Linked DNA regions of Xenopus tropicalis. The protein of the gene in region 2 interacts with the protein of the main gene of each other region in a pairwise test. Links are inferred from orthologs where the notes say so. Each region holds a gene or a part of one and is shown on either strand. Other genes may lie near its edges.

The links. The genes of interacting proteins can lie anywhere in the genome.
Region 1: the proteins of exosc10 (region 2) and mphosph6 interact in binary tests that used the Homo sapiens proteins (3 or more experiments, as listed by UniProt). The link is inferred for Xenopus tropicalis from reciprocal best matches to the Homo sapiens genes EXOSC10 and MPHOSPH6.

Annotation. Positions count from the first base shown.
Region 1 is NC_030680.2:63,898,002-63,902,349, reverse strand, and holds the start of mphosph6 (M-phase phosphoprotein 6), read right to left. Parts: upstream 2,824-4,348; 5' UTR 2,788-2,823; coding exon 2,740-2,787; intron 772-2,739; coding exon 659-771; intron 88-658; coding exon 1-87. UniProt on the Homo sapiens protein: RNA-binding protein that associates with the RNA exosome complex. Involved in the 3'-processing of the 7S pre-RNA to the mature 5.8S rRNA and play a role in recruiting the RNA exosome complex to pre-rRNA; this function may include C1D.
Region 2 is NC_030683.2:64,875,986-64,879,243, forward strand, and holds part of exosc10 (exosome component 10), read right to left. Parts: intron 2,127-3,258; coding exon 2,002-2,126; intron 1,700-2,001; coding exon 1,601-1,699; intron 1,496-1,600; coding exon 1,421-1,495; intron 1,329-1,420; coding exon 1,235-1,328; intron 1,128-1,234; coding exon 1,054-1,127; intron 188-1,053; coding exon 19-187; intron 1-18. UniProt on the Homo sapiens protein: Catalytic component of the RNA exosome complex which has 3'->5' exoribonuclease activity and participates in a multitude of cellular RNA processing and degradation events.

The sequences.
Region 1 (4,348 bases), on a different chromosome or scaffold from region 2:
ACCTCAGTGTTAAAACCTTTGAAGGACATTCTGCCATACAGGAAATCTTCACATGGCAGAAAACTCCTTTCTTCAATGATATAACTCCTGCAAATTAAAGGAAATGTATATTTAGGGAATGCTATATTTTAATAAATTTGATGGCTTTGAAGGCTGATGTACAAAAAAGTCTTTGTGGACTGTGCCTCCCTAACCCAGTATTATCATATATATCATATTATCATGTATAACACTCAGGTATAAGTAGTTTTTTATGCATTTTTGTTAACATGATACAGACACCTCTAAATGGAGTTTGGACATCATTATAATTCCTACGTTAAACTAAAAAGTTTTTTAGTTGGACAAAGTATATACATCGGACTGCTGTATGTGTGTTTTAACGTGCTAAGGCAGGGCTGTCAGTTGCAGTTCCCATGAAGAGTATTCACCTTTAACAGGTAGCAAAAATTATGCATTTAAAATATAATGTTAGCATTAGTAATATGTGTTGCTACTATCTTACATGAGGATAAGACTAATATCGGACCTTTGCTTGAAGTCTGGCATGTTAGAATTCTTTTCTTTGTGTTGACAGTATGACATTTTTTAACATAATTTTATGGTTTCCTTTGTCATATTAATTTATTTGTTTTGAATGTATCTATTTGCCTCTTACTCTTTCTCTTTAAGTTCTGGTAAATCCAAGTACCAGTGCTCATCACTGATTATCTTCTTCTCATCTTCTTCTAACTGCTTTTTGGTCTCTGCATCAAGGGTGCGCTGCATAAACTAAAGAGACAGACAAAATAGATAAATATATACAAACATAGGTATGTTAGTCTTGTAATAAAGTCCCTCACAGTAATATAAAATAACAGGCAAAGAAAAAACTAAATACTTCAGAACCTAAGCTTGAAGAAAATAAATGAATTAAAAAAGCGCATCTTTAAGTTTTTCCATAAACAAATAATCACTTGATAATAAGGTCATCAAATTAGTAGTGTAAAGATGATATGAACCTAAAAATAACATCCCTAATAAAAGAAATTGTACAATACCATGGTGTCTGTATGTACAGGAAGGTCATATCCAATATCTTTAAGCAAATAATAATTTGATTTTCTTTGTAATAATGAGACAGTACCTAGTATTGATGGTAACTAAGCTAGCATAAATCCATGTTGGTAGGAAAGCAATACTATTTTTTTTTTGTTATTTTTTGTTGTTGTTAACATATAGTAATCCAGACTGTAGAAAGACCTCAGATACAGAAAACCACAGGTCTGATGCATTTTGGACAATATATCTCAACAAGAAACCAAATATGCAACACATTCTTAAAATGAATATATACAATTTGGCATTAAAAGCACTTTAAATCAGTGAAGTCATGGAAACACTCGTAACACCATAACATTTTATGGTATAAAAATGGATCAGAAAATGTGTTATTTTATAGTGAGTTTAGTCCAGTGAACCCTTGTAGGGAGTAAAACTTTAAAAAAATATATATATATTTGACAGACTATTGTCCAAATTAAGTCCATTTTTACAAAATTTCTACAGCACAATCAGAACTAGTAGCAAAACTCTGTCACAAAGCTGTCAATCTTATAATACAGGTCATTCACTCTAAACAAAAAAAAAAAATCATATTTCTAAATCTGGATGGAGGCATAATAAGATGCCATAAGCATTTCTACAGATCATAAATCTCTGAGGTGGCTTTTAATGTAAATATTTACAGGAGAAGGAAAGTTACAATCACCGAGGGATGCTAAAATGTTAGGTGCCCCCCAGTGAATGTAATAACTTACCTGATGCCCGGGGTGGTGCTCCTGTTAGCAGAAAACTGTAGTTTCTAATTGGGGCTGTCTGGGACAGCTACTAGCTGTCATACCTTTTAAAATCAGCACAAATACAGTATAGAAATCTGAAATTTTACTATAATAAACACAGACCATTATGGAAGTGAACAGGTCCATAGTGAGACCAAAGACAGGACATGGCATTTTAAGTTTACAGAGGCCCAAACAGACTCCCCAAAGGCCCAATAAATAGTGTCTGTCTATGTACGGCATGTTACAGCCACCCTCTGGCATTTGCCAGTCCAAGTCTGTTAGCGAATTACCCTCAGTATGTAGCCCTTGCTTATTCCCCTGGAGAGAACAATTGACCGGCAATATATGGATATTGAATAGTATATAGGCAATATATGGATATTGAACTAGTGTGTGAATACTAATTGGCACCACAGTGAATATTGCTTTCCTGATTCTTGATCTTGGTGTATTGTAATGCTGTGTATTATATGGACAACATGTACCCCTTCAATACACAAATACCTACACTATATACACCTACAAATACGTATATATTGCCTCGATATCCATCCTCTCTATATCCAAGACTAAAAATGAGCTTAGACTTTAGCGATATATACATATAATATTGCGTGTAATACGGGTTTTTTGTGATCGAAATACTCGTGTATCGTCAGCATTAGTGTTGTAAAACCACTGCATTCTCGACAATACACTGTACTGAACTTACAACCCGCAACCGATCGATAACATAACCATATGTGCGGAGTATATTTTGGCTACTGTAGGTGAATGTCCTAAAATGGACACCGTACATGCGAGAGGGAACGTACCAAAAGCCTGTCTGACTGCTAATACATACACCATGTTTTCAAATATTAACACTTCCCTTACTACAGATGCGCATTGTCTACCGATGCCCACCAATAATTACCTTCATACGCAGCAAGTTTTTGGACAGCTTTCCAACTTCTGCAGCCATGATGTGTCAGCCGTGGCAACACGCTACCCACTTTCGCTTCTTCCTTCACACGCTGTCCCAGGAATGAGAATCGAACCCCTGAATCGTCGAGCAGGCTTTAACAGGACGATCAGTCTCTGAGAAGCCGTTGCTAGGTGACCGAGACCCGCTGGTTTATAATAGCTACAAGCACGTTCGGCCCAGGTAGTTTCTGGGGAAAGTGTGGTGCCAGGAATCCATTTGTAGTTTACAAAAAACGAACTACGTGTATAAAAAAAGGAAACCAGTCTATTGGCTTACCATTTCTACCAGGAGTGCAGAAACTCTCTGGCTTTTCTGTGCCAGGCACTAGGGTTTTACATCTTCTAAATGAAAAAAAAAAAAAATGAAAACAAGTAGGTAATATATATGATGATGCTGATAAAATGAAAGTCTATATAAATTGTAATATTTAATATTATATACATTGGTGTAGCTAGATTTTAGTGTGCCCTAAATTATAGGAGTCTACCAAGATATATTGAAATTGCTTATTTATTAGAGCCTTAAGGTCCCCATACATGTTGAGATTCACTTGCTTGGCGAGATCGCCAAGCGAGCGGATCTTCACCCAATATCCCCACCTACGGGTTGGCGATATATAGAGATGTAGCGAACTGTTTGCCGGCGAACTAATTCGTGCGAACATCGGGTGTTCGCGAGTTCGGAAGTTCGCGAACTTTTCGCGTATGTTCGCAATTTGGGTTCGCGTGGCGTTTTTCCGCAAATCCCGTTTCCATGGTGCTAATAGTGCGAAATAGCAAAAAACGCCGCGTATTTCCGCTAGGTCTGCCAGCTGCCTTTGCGGTTTTACGCAACAATGTGTCAACAAAGTATTTTTCAGATAAAAATAGATCGATATCAGCTCGATATCAGCAGCTACTATTGGCCTGTGTATGGGGACCTTTACAGTTCCCATACTTTACTGAACCTGTCTGCAATTGCAGGGTCTACTTCTGTAGGATTATACAACAAAGCTTCTTTTGTACTAAATCATTATAAAGGCTGACTACACCAGAGAACCGTCAGGTATACTGCGTTGTATAGGTTGGGTCCGGAAAGCCGTTATCTAGAAAGTTCCAAATTATGGAAAGCTCATCGCCGATAGACTCCATTTTAATAAAATAATTCATTTTTTTTTTTTTTTAAATTTCCTTTTTTTAAGATTTTTTAGTAGACTTTAAGATATAGAGATGCAAATTATGAAAAGAAACCTTATCTGGAAAACCCCAGGTCCTGAGCAATCTGGTCACATACTTGTACCACAAAAATCTCATCATGCTACTGCATAGCAAGCAAGATTTTGTAGCATGATACAATATATGATCCTCCATTGTGTTAAGTTAAAATTTCCCGGATGACGTTAAATATTTTTTTATGCATCTGCACCCCACAGTCAAAGTATTTCAATGAGATAAAATAAGTATATCAATTTTTATCTAGCTGAATGAAAATGGAACATGCAATTTTCTCTTCTGACAAATCTGTTAAGTAATTTAGAGAACAGATTTTAATAGTTAAATTAGATATACAGAATACAGTC
Region 2 (3,258 bases):
AATGCAAGACAAACACACCTGCAAACATCTTGAAGTCTGACTTGCTATAATCAAAAGGTGTAAATGGTGCTTGAGAAACAGGTTCCTGGGTTTCCTCAGAATTCTTGATGCGCTTCTTGTCAGATTTCATTGTTTCAGACCCTGGTTCACTAGACACACGTTCCCGTTTTTTGCTGGATTCTTCATCCTTAAAAAGGAACAGAAGAAATTATGCTTCAATAAACTGTAAATAACCCACATATGCTGCGATCATTTGTTGCTTGCATTCTAGAATGAAAAAAAAAAAAGCCTAGAAAGAAAAATAAAGCTTTCAGCACAAGCAGCATTACATTACATTACAAGTACAAAGTACAGGTATAGGATCCCTTATCTGGAAACCCATTATCCAGAAAGCTCCGAATTACGGAAAGCCCGTCTCCCATAGACTCCATTTTAATCAAATAATTCAGAATTTGAAAACTGATTTCCTTTTTCTCTGTAACAATAAAACAGTACCTTGTACTTGATCCCAACTAAGATATAAATAATCCTTATTTGAGGCAAAACAATCCTATTGGTTTTAATAAATGTTTTGTTGATTTTTTAGTAGACTTGAGGTATTGCGATACAAATTACGGAAAGATCCCTTATCCAGAATACCCCTGGTCCCGAGCATTCTGGATAACGGGTCCTATACCTGTACCATCAACTCCAGGATCCTAACAATCAGGGAAGTACAGATGTTGCTAACATACCAAGACCACCTGATAGACCTCACAGGTACAAAGAATTTGATCATTCATGCAGCAGTATATGTATCTTATTACTAAATCAAATTAGAGAAATAAGTGATTTTTCACGACGTTCCACTGAGGGCTACATTTATTGGTTTGAGGAAAAACTTTAAATGGTAGAATGTTTTGCAATGCACAATGTCACATAATAAATACTGCACAACAAAAATCATGACATATTCCCTTTAAAAGGGAATATATGACTAAAATTTCCTTTAGGCTTAAAATAGCAATTGTTAACACCACAGGTGCTGTGTGGCTACAGTTATATATTACTCACCTTTGCTTGTTCACGGACAGATTTCTGATTTTCTACACTGCTCTTAAAATCCCTTTTAGCTTGTTCCCGAGCAGCTGTTGCATGAAAAGTAAATGGAACACATGAGTGAAAATGTTAACCATCATTTAAAAATATTGTACCTGTAAAAGAAATCAACATGCACAATAATTTATATATTTACCCTTTTCTTCCCTTTTCTGTCTTCTGGCATCTTCTTTGGCTTTTGCTTCTTTTTCTTGCTGTGCCAGGCTTACAAGCTTCCATTGCTTACTGATCTATAAAGTATTTGAAAGTAAGGTGATCTTAGGCACAACTGGAATCTTACTAATGCACAAGATATGCATTGCTGAATGAAGAATGTACTTACTTCAAACATTTTTGTATTGGGGTCCAGTTTAGCTGCTTGTGATACATGAGCCCGACGATCCTCAGGTGGCAAAAACTATACAAGAGCAGGTTTAAGAATAAAAGGTAGAATACATTACTTTAGATGAGGGCTAGTGTTTTCTAGTCCAGTATACTTTAATAGAAAAATTTAATAATTTACCATTTTGAATGGGTTCTCAAAGGACTCCAAAATATTTCTTGCCTTCTGTTGTGAAACAGGCCAATTCTTTGATGGCACCACCTCTTCATCTTCAAAACCCTACAACAGGCAGCTAAGAAGTAAAATAGTGCAGGCCCTTGTGATAAATACTACATTGCTTCAAAGTGGGCACATAGATTTTGTTGCTAAAAATACCTCAGGGGGTCGAAAAGAGTGATCTATAATAAGCAGTTTTATATTTATACACTCCTAATTTCATTTCTGTAAGAAGAACAAAGCTTAAATCTCATTTAAATAATTAATATAGTCTACCTAAATTGTCTCTATGTAAAACCATATACACATTATCTTATTAATACAAAACAGCCTTTTTTTTTTAAGCCTAGCAGCAATAGACTTACATTAAATATTGTAATGCTGGCTCTGGAGAGTATGAAAGCTGGATTCATAGGTACAGGAACAACTGGCTCTTCATCAGTGAACAGACTTCCCTCTGAATTCTGCAGCCCTGGGAAAACACACAATACTATACAGTTTCTTTACTTACTGCTGCATGGTAAGCTATGATTTATTTAGAATTTAAAAATATACCACAGCAAAATGATTGTACCCACTCCCTAAGATCATGAGGAAGATGACCTGTTAAGTATATATTGAAAAATCATTATTATAAAATATCTGTACCTGTGAGTAAACCTGAATTTGTTAAAAAGTGGCAAAATTTGGGCCTAAATCAAATTCTTGATGGAAAAGGACCTAGGGACACTTGTGAATAAATATTGGCTGTAGCAAGCAATGCTAGTCAGCAGCAAGGACCAGCAAGGTTTTGAGCTGTATTAAGGTGGCCATACACGAGGCGATTTCGCTCGTTGTGCGATGAACGATTATATCGACAAACGATCGTATGGCGATCGAGTTCCCATACGATATGCCATCCACGGGCAACGATAATTCGGGAAAGATTTTGTCGCATCATTATCGTAAAATACCTACGATCGTACATCTACGTACGATCGATGTCGTTGCTGGCAATCGTGACATGCGCAGAGAACAATCGTTGAAAGACAAATGTCTGACACTCACACCAACTGGCAGATTTTATCGTTAAACGACAAAAATTTTTAAACCTGGCCGATCGATTTTGGGGACGTTAATGTCGGCTCGTTTAGTGGGCCGACGATCGTTCGTACACCACCAACTATACGATAACTTAACGATAGCATCGGATCGTTCGGGAATCGGTCGTTTGTAAGTTAAAAATCGGTCCGTGTATGGCCACCTTTAGGGTACTAACACACAGAGAGATTTGGTGCCTGTGGTAAATGTGTCACCACAGCCGTCAAATCTCCCGAAAATGCCTTTCCCTTGCCTACTCTTCAGTATGCCGCAAGTAAAACATTGCTAGTAGTGATGCGGCTTAATCATAGGACAATGCATGCTTTTTCCCCACAAAAAAGCTGGATCACTGGAAAACCAAAGTTCCCAAGCATTCTGGATAATGGATCCTATTCCTGTATTACATAATGTAACAAGTTGGAAGTTTCAATTAAAAACAAGGAAGCCTTTTTTCCATAATAATCAACCCTGTGTTGTATTATCATTCCTGTCCACATGCACTATAATAGGAAGCATTCAGTAACAAGTCCTGCTGTTTAATC